Linked DNA regions of Styela clava. The protein of the gene in region 2 interacts with the protein of the main gene of each other region in a pairwise test. Links are inferred from orthologs where the notes say so. Each region holds a gene or a part of one and is shown on either strand. Other genes may lie near its edges.

Region 1 (11,280 bases), on a different chromosome or scaffold from region 2:
TATACACCCGGTGGAGAACAGTCAATTATTTGTTAGCGAGAATTGTTATGCAGCGGGATGATCACGACGGGCAGTGAAATTTAATGATATCACGAGAACAAGAATGAGAAAATTGCTACATTTTATAGTATTTCCCTAGGAAAGAATGTAGTTCATTCTTATGTTCCATGCCAATGCTTTTCAAACTACCAAAATCTCTCAACACTTTAGCTTCTTCTCTTCTATAAAAATACATTGTTATTATATATTCGCATTTCCATCTGTTTGTTCTTGCTCCCAGATAACCGATCAGCGGCCTCTAAAGTGGACGGGGTCCCTGTCATAAACTAAAAGAGGCGACCGTGCTTCTCTTGCCTGTTGTCATGTTGTCCCTGGAATTCAGCTACAACAAAAAATTCACGAAAACGGATTTTTAAATTTTATGATTTCATTAATATTCTCAACAATGAATGATATACGGGTGATAAAATGCCAAGTTATTCCAACAACATGATCATGTTTTGCAATTTACAGCCAATATTATGTTTGTAACTTTGTTTGACAGAGCCCCAAGAGCTCTAACTACAAATATCAAAAATGTGAGGCCAAAAAAGTCACACTACAACATTGTCAAATGTGCCGTATTTACGATAGATAACAAGTTTACCAAAAAGAATTACATGAAAAATGGTAAAATAAAGATCAATTCAGCAATATCTACTTAGCGATATGCATCTGTTGATGATTTTATGTGTTTGTTTTGGAAGTTTAATAACAGAATTAATTGTGGTTGTTGGGGATGTTTAAAAAAAGGTTGCATGGAAAAAAAGTTTTCACAAAATGTCAAGGTTTGATAGTAGTAGAGAAGTAGAAAAAATACTCCCATGTTTTTTTTTTCATTTGATAACCACGCCACAGAACTTCTCCGATAAGTATACGCAGCAATTGCGAGAGGCAGAAATGCCAAGATGGGAATTCATCGCATTGCAAACGAATATTAGCAATTCTTATATATATTCGCGCATCCCCATATGAACAGCGTGGAAAAGATTATACCTATCTACACACTTTAAGAACTATGTCAGATGAGCGTCATATTATCGAATATCAGTAAAGGAATAGTGCAATGGGAAAAGACATATAAGGCGGAACTTTCAGTAGTATGCAATCAAATAATCTTATTGTAGAAGATATATTTAAAAACATTTCGTCACGCCAACTGCAGTCCGAAACTTTTTGTCTATGGCTGAGCTTAGATGCCAATTGACACTCATGTAAACTGGACTGTAAGAGGCACGCGATGGAGCAGATACTAGGAGTATCCATCCCCCAGCTGACATTTGAGTGGGTACTGCTGTTTTTATTGCAGATGTTACTGATCTTTTTGTATTAAAGATTTACTGGAATCACCGATTTAGGGATGTTGAAAACCAACACGCAATATTACAAAACTTACTTTCAACACGCGGTTTGAATAAATGAAAAAGCTGAAACTAGTATTCTTTAGAACAGCATACAATTCTATAGAATGAAATCATACACAAAAGCTCGTCAGAAACCTATAGATCAATAATCAAGTGGAATTTGATGCATGTGCGCAAAAATGTGCGCGTTACTACGTACAACCGAAGCACGCAGGAAAATGTGTGTGATGTACTAGCATTCAAAATGTTTGACTAAACTATGTTGGCATAACAGGTGCACATCTCGGTTTCACATACGCATACCTTCTATCTCCACAAGGATATATTAATTTTGCCAAAGTCAATGCAGCACTGAAAGGTTCCGGTTCTTTCAAAAGAAAACACGTTACACATCGTTAAATACCAGTGGATGGTTTTACATGGCCTTGTTCGGAGTGAAAGACGAGGTCAAATATTCCAATCCAATTCAACTAATAAAATATTTCCAAGTTCCAAAGCTTAAACTAGGAAAACGAAATGCGCGCGGCAACGCAAATGTAGTTTGAAGAGCGCAATAGAAAGTGGCTAGTTGCTGTCGATGGATCTTGGCTTGTATTAGTGAAATAAACCACCATTTATTCTACTAAAATTGAATTTCTGACATTGTAAGGAGATTTAATGTTACTATGTATGCAAAACTAAACCATGTAGTTATGAAATAATTGTTTTTAACAAAAAGGCGCTCCTGAAGTATTCGTACCAAGATGACGCACAACCTGAACATCGTATGTTTACCAGGTTAGGGTTCAGGATGTGCGTCATCTTTGTACGAATACTTTAAATCCATTTAAAAAAAGTGCTCAACATTATATACTCCACACCCACCTGGGTATCATTATATATGTCATCTACAAATTCTACATTATATCTAAACAATAAAAAAAACTTTATGTCCCAAAACAATGTTAAGGCCCGATTCTGCCGGACTATCAGCGACGCACCTAACACTGTCACTCATGACTACGTACTAGTGAAAGTTTAAGAACAATTCAAGCGTTTTAGTAAGGCTGTCTAAAATAATTTTGCACATTTCCTGATATTTTTGTCGCCATACGCAAAAACTTTATCAACCCACAACAACTTTTCAGAATCATTACAAAACCAAGCACAAAAAATCACGAAGTTGACTGATTGTATTAATTTATAATAATCATATTCGTTCATCGCCGAAGGGAGAGAGGAAGATAAATAGTCTATGTTATTTTTTCAACCACAAATGCAGTCATCGAAACAATATTGAATTGTACAAAAGTAACAGCGATAAACTGCTCTGTTATGAACGGGAGTAATACATACGACCACGCAAACGGTCTTCAAGTCAACTACCGAAATTTTCTCCTGGATGATTAAGATGCAAGATTGAGGGTTACTAATGGGAAATGTTGAACGTTGTATAATTCAGTATTAATTTACAAAAAGTTATAACAAATTTGGAGGATTCTTAGGTAGATTCGTTGTAATACGAGTGTGTGTGGAGGGGGTGGGGTCAATCGCAAAATAAACTAAATATATTATAATAATGTGGCGAAAGTGTGTCACCGAACATGCGTATGTGCGAAGGAGTAGTAGAATTGAAACATTCGTAATATATTTAAGAGAAAAAGTACACAGTGAATCGGGGTGAAAGGCATTGTGTATTTTATTGTTGTGTATTTTGTGGTTATAATTTTTAAGTACGGCAATGATACGCCATCATTGTCTTTTGTTAGATTCGTAATGTGAATTTCCATTTAAGGTGCGCTAAATTCTTCTGTTGGTGTTAATATTTTAAAATTCAACAATATACTAAATGATAGTCCATTTCGGCTACTTGATCTTGTTATTTATTTTATCCATATTTTTAAAAGATAGTTTTAGTTGTTTTATTCGCTCTTTAATAAAACTCGGATGCGAAATGAGTTATTTGCGAAAAATAGTCCATAAGTTTCATAATCGATGAAACAGCGCACAGATACCGTGTCCATTGTTTCTCTTGGGCACAGCTTTCGCGGAAAGCGAATGGCAGTTTGCTCTGGCGTCGCCTTTTTCGTTGGCGTTTGCGCCGCGCTTGGTTGGAATCTCTTTTCAACTACCAGTATCGTTAGTGTCATCTTTGGATTACCATATCTCAGCTTTGTAAGATTTACACATGATATTTCTAAAAACCCACTATTTAGTTATAGTGTCGATAAAGTCGAATTTTGGGACTTTTAAATGTCAATTTATGGTAATGTTACCGTACTACTTGATACAGTGATAGCCAAATCCGAAATGTCATAAAGCATAATTTATAGCCTACCTACAGGCGGAATGCAGAACTGACTACGCTAATGCTGTGTTGTAGACACGTCTAATTTTGGAATTTTATGTCTTTTTACTGTTTTACAGTTTTACTAAAATTGATTGACTTAACTTAGTTATTACAGTATTTTGGTACCCGTAACTTAGGACCATCAAGTGTTATATTGTGGATTTCATTACATTTTTCGATTTCCTTAAAAGACGCCAAACCAAAAATGGATGTGAAATTTTCACGTTTTTTTTTTCAAAAAGTCCGTCTGGTCCAGATTAAAATTCTTGACAGACGCGTTTAGCAAACCCACTCAATTTTCAACTGAGCACGTCATGCCAAACAGAGTAACAATAGCTTTCCGCGCGAGACCAGACTATTATTTTTAAGAAAAATTTAAATTTAGGTTGTATTTTCACATTGGATTTTTGTTTCGCGTTAATTACGCAGTCACAGGATGATTTATAAATCCTATCCTATTTTTATCACATTTTTGTTCGACGTACTTCGCTAGAACCATTTTTTCTAATAATGGTTTATAACCAAAGTTTGTCTTGTTCATTCAGCATGCTTCTGAAACTGAAATGAATTTAATTCTGCCAATAAAAAACAGAGACACATAATTTTCCAATCTACGTCTACTGTTTCCAGATTTTTGTATATCAGTATATTGATTTTATTTTCCTTTTTAAATTTATATTTTAAATAAATGAATAAGTATATTAAATGCATTTTTCTGACGGTATAATGGGTTATTTTCAACAAAAAATAAATGCAAAAATGGAAGCCAATGTGTTTGAAAAGTTAAGATAAAGAAAGACTTGATTGGTTCTTCAGTTTTGTCAACTTTCAAAAGCATAGCTCAATCTAATTCTTTTGGCCTGCACTTATAGCAGCCTACCCTTTTTCACAATTTTATTTTTTCTATAACTAACAATACCTTTAATCGAAGAACTTATTGAGGTTAAACCCATTTCCAAATTCTCTGACAAAATCACATTATATTGTATTCAATAATATAAATCAGTAAATTAAAAAGTATTTTATAATAAACATTCAGTTTTAGTGATGAAGACGAAAACATTTACAGCATTTAAGAAGGGGCTTTTTTTACTGAAGTTCGAAAACCCCTTGGATTGATCATTTGGTAACAGATATCAAAGTACTAATAATGTTTTTTTAGGGCTATACTGATGGGTCTGGTCACAATTTTAACTATGACATAGAAATCGCGGGTCTCGTGTAGTTTCGTACCTAACGTACTTCTAGTGGGCGTAGCATAACAATTTTTTGATATGTCAATCCTAACCCCCATCTGACTACGCCATCAAAAAATTAAATCACTACGACATCACAATCACGGCATAGAGCTTGCCAAATATACGCACGATCGACCGAAACGGCATTGGCGCCGACGATAAAAAACTGACTGACGTTATCGGTCTCTCTCCTATTGGAATCGTTGCGACGAGAGAACTAACTGTTCGATTTCGGGTGCTCGTTTGCGCGTCTTGGATGGCAGTTCGTATAGTTTGAAGGGCTCTATTACATCAATGTGACGTCATAATGACGTAATTTTTGGATGGTGTAGTCAGGTGGGGGTTAGGATTGATACGTGAAAAAAATTTCATGCTACGCCCACTAGAAGTGTGTTAGGTAAGAAACTACATGAGACCCGAAATCGCAACAGTATAACCTCGTCAACATAAAATTTTTTAGGGGGAAGTGATGTAATTTAGCTCTTCATTCAGACATTGCTGATGGTCTGAATGTCACTCACGCTGACAAAAAACAGCTGTGTCAAAATGTGTGTGTGTGTGTTGTCAGGGACCCTGATGTTACTGTAGAATCTGAAACATTTTTCTGGACGCCTATTTGCTTTTTTTCTGTGCTTGCCAAAATCATAAGTATAAATCGATTCTCTATTCCTAGAAGCAAGAAAATCCCAAATTTTGATCATATCGTACATGCCATCTGTATATCTTGATACTATTAATTCCTATTAAAAAAAAATGAATAAATTTATGTATTGTGGTATTTTATAATTTATTTGAAATAGTCCAGTATTCGGTTATGGCCATGCCTGGTGTATATGTATAGCCAGGAAAAGTGCTTGATACCAAGATTACTTGTCTAGAACAAGTCTTTCACTGTTGTAGAGATTAAATTTAACTAATATTATGCCTAGGTTGAGTTTCCTATAGTGCCTAAATTTGTATTTTCTCTCTTTGTCTATTTGAAAACCATGTACCGGTAATCCATGAACTAAACTTGACCCATATGACACGATATTTATCTGCCTGCATGTAGTTAAATCTGTCTAGTTAGTTATCATTTCTCCCGAAAGTCAAGTCTGTATACTACTTATTTAGGCTACCTTATTGCAATGAGTGGAAGATTTATCTTGACCAAAACTTCTCCCTTTTTCAGGTTTTTAGGTAATTATCTGATTGATTTTAATTATTTTACAAATTAATATATCTGGTGAGTTATTTTCATTTGAATATCACAATATTATGGGATAATTTCAACTTGTTAAAACAATTTTCGTACTACAGCAATAGCCAGATTATATTTTTTTTTTATATAATTGCCATTTAAACTAAAAGTTTGTATCTGTTATATGTACCAAATTTTACTCTGTACAATGGCATAAATTATCAGTATGGTGTTTGTAATCTTGATTATCCAAGTCGTTAATAAAATAAGTCTTCTATTACCAATAGGAATCTTTTTATTACTTTGTTAATTTGGATTTTTTGTCATTTTATTGTATTAAATATGCACCCATAATCCAATTATCTAATACTGTGAAATATCAGTTATCTTACTGTTTAAAGTTTAAACCATATATAAATATTGAGTATTTTATGTCTTAGTTATTCAATAATATTATGCTTTTTAGAATTAATTTCAACTTCAAGTGAAAATGGCTGTTTGATTTCTACAAAAAGGTACTAGGTACTATTGTTCATTCTATATTTATATTATTTGAATGTGGACCAGGCTATTGATGTTAGAAAGGACATGCGAAATGTCATATTTGAGCGTAATTAAATATTGTATAAAATTGTATAATACATCGCCTTATTTTTCTGATTATGCGAAGAAAATGATTAGTATCAGAAAGAATAAATGATACCTTATGCTAATGATTTGGTTTCTGAGAGACTAAAACCACTTATCCTTCTTTTATGTTGTTGTGCCGCTGTTGATCCGTATGCATATATTGCAAGGATGCTGTAGCAAAAGTAAAGATAACTAACCTATGTGATTTAAGAGTCTTGTTGCGCACTAGCACAAATATATTTCTGTAATGTTGAACATAGTTGAAATATGTATGTCTGAAGAAGTCAGACGAAACGTTACAGAAATATGTTTGTGTTAGTATGCAGCAAGACTCTTTAAATCACATAGAATAAATGATAGATTGCATTTTAGAAAAATATCGCAGACTGAAGTAGAATTTTTTGATACTTGCATCCATAAATAATACTGAATATTCATTTTAGGTTTTCTTACTATGAGTAGTTGTTCAAGAGGGGTGGAAACGTTTAATACCAGTGATAGGTTGTCAGCTGCAACGTCGTTTAGCACCAAAAAGCTGCTTGGACCCAAGGGCGACTCACAGTTTGCATCACTTAACCATGCTCGTAAATTTGAGGGAAATATGAAAGTCAGCCGTAAGTGACTTTTTTTATTGATAAATATTATATATAAACATAATGCATGGGATCTATTTGTTAAAATGCCATGTAAGAGATAATACCTATAGTGCCTCTAAGTGCAATAAGAGCTTAGTTTTATCGTAATCAATGATAGAACTTGGATGCCAGCTAGATTTGCTCTCGAAAGTTGAGTTAGCTTGCGACATATCAGATAAATTATCACTCTTGTATCACCTAGGTGTTTATTATTTGTTGTGTGCCAGATCAGAATGAATTATAATGGCCTTGTTGTTTGGGTGTTAATTAATATTGAAGTAATACACAAATTCATTGAAATTAGAAGTTTATGAAATGTATTGAGGCTAAAGTAATTTCATGCATTGTAGGCTTTTTCTAGAAAAAAACATATAATTTCAAAATAAAATGAATATGACTGGTAAAACTGGTGCAATGAATGAAGTTATAAAACTTTCATCTATTGGAAATGTTATATTACAACTTAGATTTGTGTGAAATTCTTATTAAATATTTTTGACTGAAATTTATGCCTAATTTGAAACAAATTTTCTTGTTCTAATTCAACAAATATACAATATCTAGCTCACTGAAACGAATCGCAAAAAATAATAATATAATCCTAATGTATTTGATGTATTGGTGTAATAAATCTGATCAGATATACCAAACTTGAAATAGTCTTTCCAATCCTGATATCATATTTTGAGAAATCATACTTTATGACAAGATTCACGAGGTAGTTATCCTGAAGCGTGAATATTCACGCTTTCCAAATTAGAACAGTACGTGAGGTAGAATTTTAATACAATTTCATATATTATTTGGTTATAAAACATCATCCTCATAATATCCTGTGACAAGCAATTACAAAACGATTAAAAGTTTGAGACGGCTGTAACATGTAACAATGGTTATTTCTAAAGATCACTCAATTCATTATGATACCATCACAGTATTATGAGGTTTGTAAATTAAAAGTACATGATTTATGACATGGTGATGCCAGTCATTGCTTTGGCTTGAATCAGTTGATATACCTGTCAGAATATAACATGTATGAATCAGAATTTTGTCACCGATTACTAAAGCTTTAGCTTTGTAACATTGTATTGTAAATATATCTATGTTTAATTATTCTACAAAATGAAATAGGCTACTTTTATTGAACATTTTTGTTATTTAATTCAGCTTTCATAGGTGAAATTTACATATAGATTTCTCGAAGTTATTACACGAAGTATTCATTTGTTTAGAAGTTTAATGCTGCTGCTGTGGCAATAGATGTCAGTTTTTGTATAGCCTGTTTTTTTTAATCTCATTCATATGTATGTTTCGATTTTATATATTCTAAGCATATTTTAAATGTTAAAATTTGATCAGGAAATTATACATTCAAATAAACTTCTTCAAACTCACTATTTTCATGTTGATCTCTAGGAATTTTTCACAACTTGTATTAATGTATAGGTGTACTGTACATTATTGATATCTCACTGTTCTTTAGTAAGTTCTGATTGTGTTTAAAATATTCCCAGGATTCCCAAATCATGCTGTTGGTGATTGTGTTCAATCAGTTTTAGCAGGGTATACACATCTTTCAGTTTTTCAAGTCACAATCTCTAGTACTTTTCTAAAGATAAAAAGATATCCCAGGCCTATAAAAAAATGCCTTTTTATTTTGCATTCAAAGTAGTATAATATGAATTACTGTGATTGTATTTTTATATCTATTAGGGGGAGATAGTCTTGAGCTCCAAGATAACAATTTGAAATGAGCTATTGCTAAATTGTATGTATTTTATTAAGACTAGAATTTAAGAATATCATCTGAAAATGTTTTTCATTTCAGGCGAGAAAGAAGGTAAGATAACAACTGTTGTTGCAACTCCAGGACACGGACCAGAAACACAGCAACAAGTTTCATATACAGACACCAGAGTTATAGGTAATTACTGGTATATGTCGATTTACTTTACATTACAATGTAGATGGATTGATATGTTCTTTTGCTTTACCGTATAAAATATCTCTATTTTCGACTTAATTTTGCATCATTTAATCTTAGTATTTGGTATTATTGTATTCCCAGAATCCTAATCATTTTCTTATCTTATACCAGTGGCAATTCAACACTGTATTTAATATTATACCGCTGTTATATTGTAGACGTTGCGCAATAGTAAGGATCTTGAATCTTTGTTGCAAATAAAACAAATTTTGAAATCATTCCATATGAATTTCTTTCTTCTTTAGGAAATGGATCCTTTGGTGTCGTTTATCAAGCAAGACTCGCAGACAACAATGAAATGGTTGCGATTAAAAAAGTTTTGCAAGATAGAAGATTCAAGGTATTTGCTGTAATTGTGAATGAACTAGAATACTGATACAATAATAACTTGTTTTTTTATATAAATGGCTATTACATTGTGGGACCATGTTATGCATAAACAAGCATAGAAATGATATTTGATCAAAAATGTTTGGGTAGAATGCAAAATTTGCTAGATTACAAGTCAGATCAAATATCCTAATTTGAACATGTAAACCAATTATGACTGTCAAAAGTTAGATTTTGAAATTAGGTGTTTTTCCCTTATAGAATCGCGAACTTCAAATAATGCGAAAGCTAGATCACTGCAACATTGTCAGTTTGAGATATTTTTTCTACTCAAGTGGAGAAAAGGTTTGTATTTGCTTTTGTATTCTAACAATTTTCTACAATTCAGTTTATATACTGCGTAAAGGCAAAATATATAGGGGTTATTGTGATTTTGGTCATTTTTTTTAAGACCACCACCATTTTACCATATTATTAATAGTTTGTAATTTTATTTAAAAGTTTGTGTATTTAATAAGGAAAGATGATTCTTTAAAACAATGAAAATGTTCGTTTCTAATCCAAAGTATGATGGTGGTTCGTGTAGCCAGAATTTGAAATCAGAGCCATACCCTAAGTATAGATTATAAACTAAGTATAATATCTGTATTTTAGACTAAGAAATAGTAAAAGCTCTCAGCATATACAAAACAAGCGTCAAACTAACTTAAATTATTTCATCAAAAGCAAAAAAACTTTCATAGGCTTGGGGTTTCTCTAGGTTGAAGTTAAGGTCACATTACTTTTCAACCCCGATGTTTGAAGTTTGAGTCATCTCCGATTTTTTTTTTCAAAAGTTTGTCAAATGAATTTTTATCTGAATGCACGATCCTAGTTATGATAGCTTCTTTTTAAAAGTTATATTTCCTATTTTTCGTATCGAGAGCTTTGAAGTTTTAATTACCACGACCTTTTCGCATATCTTTTCCAGAAAGATGAACTTTATCTCAACCTTGTGATGGAATATGTTCCAGAAACAGTGTACAGAGTTGCTAGACAATTCAGCAAAAATAAACAGACTATTCCAATTCTTTTTGTCAAGGTGTGTAGTATTAGGTATATATAATGACTCAATATGAATACCGGCTTTGTTTGTTGGAAGCGCTATTGGAAATGAATTTGCATAAATTGATATTTGGGTATATACATAAAATAGGTTTCGCAAAGCTGCTAAAATTAATTTGTACAGGATTTTGTGCTATAATGTAATTTCTCAACTTTCGGTTCTGCGATGCAGATAAGTCTCCATATTTTTATAAAAGTATTTCCATCTGATAATGTCATTCATTCGATTAGTATATCATCCACATTTTTTTATTCTTATAAAATCATACTGAATAATCACTCTCCAGTCTCCAATTTAAAATAAGATGATTCTACAAATTCATAATTTTTTAAATTGTACAATGGTTCACATCCACATTTCTGATTGAATTAAAAAAAAATACAAATTGGTATCATTGAATGTACACTCAACCAGCTCTTTTATAGAAAATATCCATAAAT
Region 2 (10,895 bases):
GAAGTCTTCTTTGTATTTATTTCAATGTAAATTACATATAGCCTATTCTAGATTTCTCCATAAACCATACTAAATTGCCCCCCCTAAATTGCCCCCCCCCCTCTAACTGAAGCGCAGTTGCCCTTGGTGGGCCACAGCCCTCCGGTTGGTCTCCCCTGGTCTATATACACCTCTAATGAAAACAAACTTCACAAAGAAAAAATTACTATTTTTCCTCCAAACTCTTATCAGAAAAAACATTTTTATTGGCATGTGAATATTGCACATACCGTCACATACCTGGTCAAGACTGTCCGTCATATTTGAATATAGTTCATACTGTGAAGCAGCTCTATTCCTTTCCATTACAACACGTGCAAGTGATGCTGTTCCACTCCTCCTTGAAGAATTCAATGTCTGGTCTTTATCTTTTGCCTCTGATATGATATCACTGAATATAAAAAAATAATTTAAATTACCGATAGTTGAAGTCAAGATAATGAACCAAACTTACATTTACCAAAGTAGGCGCTGATAGTTAGAAACTGCAATATTGTTATTGTTTTTTCGATCTAGTTCAACACAAATCCAAAACATTTCCAAATCACTTCGTATCCTTCTTAGAATAACTTCATTTGAAAAATATTTATTTATAGACTGGCACATAAACTCATAGAACATAACTTTTTCATGCATAAATAAATAACAAACAAATCCCCTGGTATACTGCTTTTTACTTATAGATTTTAATCGGTAAGTATGTTGATAGGTATTTGTCTGTCTGTCAGATGCATGCGATATCTCACGAAAGCGAGATTGAATCTGCTTCAGATTTTGCATGTGTAACCATCATATCTCGGACCAGAAGCCTATTGATTTTGGGCGAATTATGTCGTATAATTAGCAAGTAATTAATTAGTGATGGGACACAAGGTGTCACTATGGAGTAGGAGCGCTGTTTTGGGGATCCCCTAACTTTCGATCGATAAGTCTTCGGTCTCTGACCGATATTCTCATTTATACATTGCTAATTCACACCTCTCACTTCAAACAAGGTCCTAACAGCAGCCACCTATATCTAATGATGTGAAAGGAGATATTGTTTTTAGGAGGATAAGCAGCTCGGATTACCTACCCCATTTTTTACACCCTGGGTGAGGTGGGCATGGCATTTGAACCTGCGAAGCCAACAGGGTTAAGTCTAACGCTACAACCACCAGCACATGCACATTAAATATAATTGAATTTGGATCAATCCTGTTCACTCTAGGACAGTGGTTCCCAAACTTTTTAGAGTTGCGACCCACTATTTATTACCACAGCTTATGGCGACCCATTTAACTTTTTATGACATAACACAGAACACAGCAATGGCTAATCATCGCAAAACTATCGTGTTTCCTCGAAAATAAGACCTGGCCTGAAAATAAGACCTAATTTGAATTTCAAAAATGATTTTAATTAAACCCTTCCCTTAAAATAAATTTAAAATGTGAGAGGAAAGGTTCAATGACCTGAGGTAAGGTGAAGATCACACCACTATTCACGATTGTGTGATGTCACAATCACAATTATGATAATTTGTCACTTGATTTTTGTATAGGAAATTACAAATTAAAAACAATGGATGTCGGTTTTTATATAATGTTTATTAAAAAATCTCATGATTTTCTACAATGTAATTTTATTTTTGATAAATGAACACAAAAGACCTCTTCCAAAAAAAACATAGTGTTATTCTTCAAAAGAAAATAAATCTGAATCCTGTCTAAATTTCGAGAAAACACGGAAAGAAGTGCTGCACAGTGTACAAAACTACTATGCGTAAAAAGGCCACATGATCATTCTTTGTGTAGCAAATTTGTGTTCCTTTGAGAAGATCGTAAAAAGGAAACTTTCACAGATCAGAATTTAAATTCAATTTAATTTTTTTTTTTTTTTTAGGATTTACATATTCGAGTCGCCACCGATCCTAATACCCAGTATAATTAATCAAAGCTTTTTACATCTTTAAACGACCCACTAAGATTCCTTTTGCGACCCACCAGTGGGTCGCGACCCATAGTTTGAGAACCGCTGCTCTAGGATGATTAATAGCTAATGATCATAATGAATAGCAAAAATTCTTACTTTGGTTGGACAGGTGGCAAAGACCATTCTCGATTCTCATCGAGTCTTGGTAAATATCCATATCTGCCCTCAGGTACCGTCAATTCAGTTGGAGCAGCTTGAGGAGCATTCGATGGTGCACTCTGGAGACAATTTTGAAATAAAAAACATATGTCGGCTATAGGTTAAAATAATCAGGCTTCACATTAATTTTAAGTATCATAAGGAACCAACTATATAAATCATCTCAAGTTACATCAGATTGCAAGTAATCAAAATGCGATACATGAAGAAACAGTGACAGGCAAGTTCAATATGTGGAGAAGCACTTTTTGACATGAAAAATTGCACAAAATCAAGACCTCACCTTGTTTTCGGAATGATGAAGTGTAGATGCATTTTGAGGGCTTTGTTTACTGGGTTTGTTTTCACATTGTGCAGCATAATTTTGAAAAAGTTCGCTTTTCAAAAATGAAATATATGAATTTTCTTCAATATTGGATTCGATTTCGTTTTGAGCTTGGTCGAACAGAGAAGCGTCTAGTTCAACAGAACAAGACATATTTTTCTGTGCCTAAAAAAAGAAGCATTGTTGGAGAAAACTTTTCTACAAGTTCAATGACTAACAGGGCAGTGTACTGTACAGTTTACATCCAATGAAATCATCAGCTCTTGAGTTGGAAATTGGACTGACCAAAACCCAGTCATTTGTTTTTTCAAACATTGTGCATAACAAGAACATAACACAAACTCTTCCCTAAACCAGGGGTGTGCTACATTTTTTGGCAGTGGGCCATAAAACAAACTTCATACATCTACCTGGGCCACACAAAATTTAGTTTTTCTATGTAGCACCAGAGAAGATTAATTGCAGTGACAACTGACAAGCGCAATAAAACATTATGTATTTTACCATATGAGCGCCTTTTAAACATAAATTTTCGAATTATGATTGTAAGCTTAATTAGGAAAATCAGATTGTTCACAAAAGCCTAACTACATGGCTTAGTAGGCCGGGTCATGGTCCGCTTGTTGCACACCCGCCCTAAACCATATATCTTTGTCATGGTTTTGATAACGGTCCACCTTAATATTATATATTAAACATAAATACATAGTGTGTTCATTGACATTCATTAACATGGTTTCAATTCTATCAAAAATCATAACACAAACTATTGAAAGGCACAGTTAGACAACCAAAAAGTGATGTGTCTAGTTTATATCTGATACTGATAGAACAATTTAAGCTGGGAATCAATGTCAAAATTCAGATATTCATTATTACCATACAATTATTACTTATACTATATATTCATGTTGTAAAAAAACTTACCTGCAATGCATTCTTTATTTGTTTGCAAATATACTGTCGGGTCGCATCTCTTATGATACTTGACACTGCATGGCATTTATCTTTCTTCAAGTAAGTATTGAAAATCGTCTTTGCAAGTTTTCCTCTGAAAATATAATCAACAAATGCATGAATACAAAACTAGCAATGATGCACAATCTGTACAAGAAAATAGCTGGTAATCCATTTTGAAATAGTATTGGACAATTGCATAGACATAAAATTGGGATCCAGTAGATATGCTTAGAATAGAAAACTACAATTCAATTCAACCAGATTTTCAAAATAGGCCTGAAGTTTTCATTGAGCCTACAGTAGATCCCAAGAAAACATCAAGTACAAATTGAAAAAAAAAGAGGTGATTTATGCTCGAGGTTGAACCCTCATTTGGTAGTTCAAATTGACAAGTTGATAAATAGACATGGATTAGTTTTGTTATTGACACTTTTACTGTATTGGTAATGTTCAAATAAAAACATTTAAGATACTCGAAGGTTTTGTGAGCCTGAGATTTTGTTTGACGCTGAAAATAGGCCACAAGAGATAAAGGTTGAGAGCCAGTGGATTACAGTGCTCGAGCAAGTTCCATATTTCTGTTATATACTTTCAAAACTATTACCAATAGAATAATTCTCACCTAGTTACAGCATCAAACTGAGTTCTTTGGGCTGTCAATGGTCCTGTTGTTGATGAAGCAGCCGAAGAATTATTTGAATAATTATTTTTTGTACCAAAGTCTCTGAATCCTTTACAAGCTAACCAACAATTTAATAATTCTTGTCTTTTGCTATCAGCAAGAAATATTTTGAATAATCGAATTCCTTCACTATCTTCCAACATATTGTGAAGTGATGATCTCCATCGATCACAAGTAGGAAGAGGTGAAGCGCTTCCTTCTGGTTCAAATCCGAGATCTATGTCAGTTCGCCTGAAAAAAAAAATCAAATTTCAGAATAGTTAGGTTTAAAACTTCGAGAAATGAGCGAAGAATGATACATATACTAATCTACGTAGTCAATTGCTTTCCAGAATGAACTTTTAGAATTAAATTGTATTTATCAACAAGACTAAATAAAACACAAACATACAACTGGAGGACTCAGAATGCTGGAATGTATCGATAAAATAAAAAGAACCTATGAAATATACCTGGGTGTTGCAGTCGACAGTTCGGATTTCCCACTCACACTGCTATGTGTTGACATACGTCCATCAACAGATGTGACCTCATTTTCTTCTCCAATGGCAGGGGGTCTTGCATATGGCTTTGTGAAGTTATGGCCTTGTAAAAACGACTGTACCCCAAAGTTATTCATGCTGCTTGACTTGGTGCATTTTGTAATTATTTTTCAACCATTTTCATTTGATATTTTATACTAAATTTCACATATAAGCAATAGTATGATATTAGAATGATCTGAACAATATCATGAAAATTTGTATTTCATTACAGACATGAACCGATAACTCATATCTGCATATAATAATATCATAATAGACTAGTCTACAGGACTATATTATTATTTCTGAGTCATAATAGCTTCTTTCAGTTTTAATTGTTGCGACTACATACCGGTACAAATATGATAATACTGTAATACTACTGTACTATAAACCAACAGGTCATAGCCTACTGTCACAGGCAAATAAAGTTATACAGTTTGTACTGATTTATATAAGTTCTGGAGTATACCAGTACATCTGTATAAATCTACAGCAATGCAATCAGAAAGTTCACAAGTCCCGTCTAATCGACTGCTAATCCCAGAATTCTCTGATTTGGTCTCGTTGTCATCCTCTAATTCAGCAACCAACCCTCGACAATCAACTTATATTCAAGCGTACCGGTACAGTTTTAGACGTAGTCTGCTGTAGTTGATACTGATCAAATTTTTGAAAATGAATCCATGCCATTCATTTTTCAGTCACGAGTCACCTTGGTAGAACTGCTGTACTTTCAGACTTAAAACGACCTATACCGTAACTATTCTGGTGTGTTTGAAAATTATTTGATAATTTACTAGCTGGGAAAAACTATATAAAGGAACAAAAGAGACTACGAATCAGTCAACCAAGTTTCGCAAAACCTCAAAACATCCGCTCGTCAGGCCCAACCGAAGTCTTTGATCAGTGCCGAATTCCGCGGCATGTCCTTTGATATGCCGAATTTCAGCTATGCCGCTATGTGGCGCCAAATCCCCGTTTACCATGGTGAGGGCAACAAAGAGGGTGATGTTCTCTCCATCATGTCTTCATCAGCAAGGCTAATCTTATTTTGTTCAGCGGATGTTTCCCTGACCATCGACACCCATGTTTATTTCGATAACATCGGTTAATCAGCAGATGCCAAAGATGAGACAACAATTGAAATTTTAGTGCTCAGACATATTTTTCAGATTGATATTCAATTCAATTATTACTCCAGCCCAGACCCGTGGTTTTCAGCTGTGCACCTGCGGGCTGAGTCGTGTTACCGTGTTTCCCCCGGAAATAAGACTGGGTCTTATTTCAAGTTACTTCCGCAAAGTACCACTAGGGCTTATTTTCGGGGGATATCTTATATTTTCATTTAATAAAAACAAAATTACAAAGTAAAGAATTACGAGATTTTCAAATTTATATACAAAATATGAAAGCCGTTATCTATTTACTTATAAATAACACGTTTTTTTTATTCAAATCAACTGCTAAAGTTAGCTTATCAATCGTTTAAAGCGTGCAGGAGAGAATTTTTGCTACCGACTAGGTCAAAAACAATTTTGCGTATCAACTAGGTCTGATTTTAAGAGGAGGGCTTATATTAAAATGATTTTTAAAATCCAGGCTAGGTCTTATTTTCGAGAAAACACGGTATTGGACACGACATAACGATCGTTTCAATATTATGTTGTAGTTCATCACCATTATAAAATCGCTTTTCTCTTCGAATACTGGACCAATTGCTTTAGAAATTTTCAGTGGTTAAAGATTGATTTTTTCGCCATAAGGCTATTACTTTTTTCAAAAATTTCTGCGGAGATTCGTATTTTATGTGTCAGAATAAAATATAGTGGCACCTTGTGACGTGTCCATATATTTGAGCATACACTCAATGATAAAGTACTCATGATAAATACACTGTTGTAAACTCACATTCTCTGACTAATATTTCAAAACACCGAATTCAGCTACAGCAGTAAAACAGAGAAGAATATTTTGGAATGGAGAAAGAAATTGTTTATTTATTGAATAAAAAAGTTCAGCAAGTAGTAACTGATCAAAAAACGAAATTTCAAAACAAAGTCTAAAATGTGTGCATGATTTCTGTTCACTTTTCCCCAATCTTATTCTCCATATCATCAAAATCATTGGTGTCCAAGTTATGAACCTTAATTCCTGAAATAAAACAACCATAACGTTAGTAATAAGTCCCTGTTACCCTTATTCATAGTATGCTATGCCTATATACATATATACAGTATTGGCATTAACAATTGACTACAAGGGTTAGTAAACCCCTGATAAAAAATAGACGATTATTGGAATAATATATACCCATTTTCTCCACAACCTTTCTCTGGCCCCATCAGTGCTCTTTAGAGAAAGGACAGGATAAACAAAATGATACTTATAGCATCATAATTTCAGCAATAAAGAATGTCACTTGGAAGACACAAAAATATTTATCTTGAAATATGTCTTTGCATATATTTTGTACAGATGGGTCGAGATTTGGATCAGAACTTGATTTAATTAGAATCCACATATTTTTGGGACAAGGATTCTATATTAGGTCTCAATCAAATTCTGTATCTACTAATTGAAACCTATGCTATGTACTTTCCATCCCTCCGAAGATCAGCACAAACAATATCTAGTCAAAATCATTCAATCGACCACATAGGCTCTCTGAAAACATAATGTATCTATCACCAGGGTCTTGTTGGAAAATATTGATTTCTTTCGTAACATACTAGGTGCGTACTGTCCCTAATGTGGCCAGAAAATATGTCTATGTGCTTTTCGGTGCATGAACCACGTATATGTGGCTCAATTTATCTGTGAAACATGCTTTTGTTATCTGTTGTGAAATCACAAACTCTGAAGATTCAACTTAAGTTCTAAGCTCAGTTATTATTCGGATTAGTCAAATCAGACTCGTAACTCTAACATCTTGTCATGTGCCACTTCCATGATTGTTTCTAGTGAATTGCATCATAGCAGTATTAGAAAATGTCATCATTATTATTGTACCCTCAGACATTGAAAACCTGGTTAATCAATACCTTGGTATCAACACTACTCACCAAAATGTTTTTCGATTTCTCGCAAAACCATTTCATCTCTGTTTTGGCTGATAAAGTTGATTGCAATTCCAGATTTTCCAAACCTGCCAGTGCGACCTATACGATGCAAATATGTTTCACAATCCGCTCTTCCTTGCATATCGATAGGAAGGTCAAAGTTCACAACCAGTGTGACCTGTTTAACATAAAGGGAAATAAATTGAGAAAAAAGAAGAAAATTCTGTGGTCTGTTTTTCAATGTTTTACTATTTATTTTTATGCAATGTTGTATTGAAACAATATGACAAAAAATGATGGTGTTCAGATTATTTCAGTATATGAGGTAGCGTATATATATATATATATATATATATGAATAAGCATACAATATATTTTAGAAAATTTACCTGTTCCACATCAATTCCCCTCGAACAGACATTTGTTGTTACAAGAACTCTCTCTTTGGCAGCTTTGAATCGACGTAGAATTGAAGCTCTCTGTTCAACATCCAGTTCTCCACTTAGCAAGGCAACAACAAATCCTCCTTCACACATCGTCTGTGCAAGCCATTTCGCAGTTTTTCTTGTTGCACAAAATATGATTGCCTGACAAAAAATATTAAATGGATTGGAATTTAGTTTCAACAAAATAAGACATTGCATACAAAAATTTGTAACCAATCATGAAAATTAAAATAGTGAACACTCCAGAAAGAGAGGGGTCAAGTTAAAACGCCAATCAGTTCAGTGAGTAACAATTAAAAATCAAATTCAACAATTACACATCATTCTCTCATAACTACTCTGGGAAAAGTATTAGTGAAGTTCATGCTGGGGTCAAGGCTACAATGTTGGATAACTGTTGGCCAGGCATAATTAGCCTAATTTATAAAGTAGAGATAAAGTATCTGGCAATCCAAGATGGATAGACTACCAGTTTACATATTATTTGAACATTATATAGATTTTACATTAAATGCTCAAATTTGAGTCGTAAAATGTGTGGATTCGACTCAAATAAGAATCTCATCCTATCCCTAGTTTGCACCTTCATATGACCATTCATTATAATTTGCAAGTGTTCTGAAGAAGAAAACCTATATTAGTGTCAATAAAGACTAATCCGATCACAGAAGGATAGAAGATGTTGAAATAGTAAATTATGCTCAGAATACAGGAAGGAAATTTTCTATAAATAATTACACCAGTACCTGGCCGACAGATAGTACACTGTAAATATTAGACAAAGCATCGGCTTTCTTTTCTTTGCTGGTGCATTTGACGAAATATTGCTTGATATTGTCTAATGTTTCTTCTTCTCTTCTCAGCTATGAATGATAAAAAGAGTGTATGTTTACAAATATAGCAATGGCTACAACAAGCAAACTATTGAAAAAGACAAACATGATGTAATAAAGATATGGTTACAAATGAAAAGATGCAAATCATAGCGTTATGTTCTTGGACAACCTGTGTAAATTTTACATATTACAATATGAGGATTATAACCCAAAAGAGCAAAACTTGAAAAAGCTGCTTCGAGATAATGAGTAGAAACATATTTTTGACTTTTAAACTCCTGTAAACCTTTTGTTGGAATACTTTGGTGAATATTGCTTCAAACTAGGATTGCATACCAGCTTTAAATAACAACTTTTTTTTTTGAATATTTTCATATAAATTTCTTTTAAAAATTTTAACAATAGCAGCTGTCTTGAAACCTTCGAATAGTCATATTATAGTTGAAATGTATTTCTTATAAAATCACTTCCGATATAAGTTGATCAAAGGGTATGGTGATTTCTACACATGGAGTAGAGGTAACATCGGGCCCAAAAATTCCAGCCCGACCCGACTCGGGCCCGTGGGTATTAAACCCAACCTGGCCCGACTAATTAACTGTATTTGCAGGCCCGAGCCCGAAGCAAACCCGAAATTCTTAAAATAAGCCTCGAAAAATTTGCAATGGTAAAGTATAGAAAGAATATTTTCGGTGATCAAAAGTCGAGAAAAGGGCCATTACAGCTTCTTTTCTGTTTTATTCAAAATATTTCTTTTATAACATGCATTCCTTAGTTTAGTATCCACACATGATTTTATTATATATTTTTTATAGACATATATTTAATTGAAAAAAGTCAGCGATAGCGAAGGCCGAAGGCCTGACCCGAACGTAACGATTGACATTTCAGGCCCGACGCGAACGTAATGATTGACATTTCATGCCCGACCCTAACGTAATGATTGATGTTTCAGGCCCGACCCTAACGTAATGATTGATGTTTCAGGCCCGAAATTCGGGTCGGGCCCGGGCTTCAGATCTTAGCTCTAACATGGAGTACCTGTATAATGTTTGGTTCTGTTACAATTTTTCTGGCAAATCTCATGACTGCTTCTTCGTAAGTTGCTGAGAAGAGTAATAATTGGCAGTTCTTTGATAATTTCCTGAGAAAAAGGTTAGTTGAAGATATTATATATTAATAAGTATAACAGATTTCAACATCGCTGAAAACACTACACTACACAGAGTCGCCTAGTTTCAACTTGAAACATTAAACTCGCAATCGAGTCTAATTACATTAATTCTAACTCAAAACTAAAATTTTCCCCTCCTATGATAAAGAGTCGAGTACTCGTGTATATCAATGAATGCTTCATCAAAAACCCCTTTATAGTCTTTTTTTGGATTATCAATAATGTTCTTTCATAATTTCATAATTATTCTAATTTACTACAAACCTATGGACTCTAATCGATTGATCTTGAAAACCCTGTGTTGCAATCATCACATCTGCTTCATCGAGAACAAACACTTCAATTTTGCTGGGATCAAAAGCCTGAAATAAGAATAAGAATTTATTGGGGTAATGTCAGTGCTCAGATAATACAAATTCCAAAGCAATCTAATGGAAGAAAATAGTACAAAAACTACAAATGTTAAAAATAAAAGCTCAATGCAGAAGCCAACATTTATAAAATATAATACTGTCTTTGTTACTAAAATTTTAACCAAGGTCATATACAGATCAGATTGTAGAAGATAAATGGAATAAAAGATAATAGTTTGCTTCGCCATACATAAAGATATCTCTGACTGGCATACAATTTCAGCATTAAACAAAAAAAAATTTTGTTCAAATTTCACAATCGTATTTATTAAGAGTCAGATACAAAAATAACATTACCTCA

Evidence for each region.
Region 1: the proteins of axin-1-like (region 2) and glycogen synthase kinase-3 beta-like interact in a two-hybrid assay, tested with the Drosophila melanogaster proteins (2 studies listed by BioGRID, with this or other methods). The link is inferred for Styela clava from reciprocal best matches to the Drosophila melanogaster genes Axn and sgg.

The regions. Positions count from the first base shown.
Region 1 is NC_135253.1:9,238,474-9,249,753, forward strand, and holds the start of glycogen synthase kinase-3 beta-like, read left to right. Parts: upstream 1-6,135; 5' UTR 6,136-6,195; intron 6,196-6,616; 5' UTR 6,617-6,665; exon of another isoform or gene 6,666-6,672; intron 6,673-7,223; 5' UTR 7,224-7,234; coding exon 7,235-7,394; intron 7,395-9,246; coding exon 9,247-9,342; intron 9,343-9,650; coding exon 9,651-9,745; intron 9,746-9,996; coding exon 9,997-10,080; intron 10,081-10,705; coding exon 10,706-10,816; intron 10,817-11,280.
Region 2 is NC_135256.1:17,128,053-17,138,947, forward strand, and holds the start of axin-1-like, read right to left. Parts: upstream 4,874-10,895; 5' UTR 4,759-4,873; coding exon 4,592-4,758; intron 4,371-4,591; coding exon 4,080-4,370; intron 3,549-4,079; coding exon 3,425-3,548; intron 2,663-3,424; coding exon 2,456-2,662; intron 2,232-2,455; coding exon 2,110-2,231; intron 431-2,109; coding exon 280-430; intron 1-279. Other genes in the region: ATP-dependent RNA helicase DDX19A-like, read right to left, coding at 6,750-6,817, 7,729-7,903, 8,115-8,312, 8,918-9,034, 10,049-10,151, 10,446-10,543, 10,892-10,895.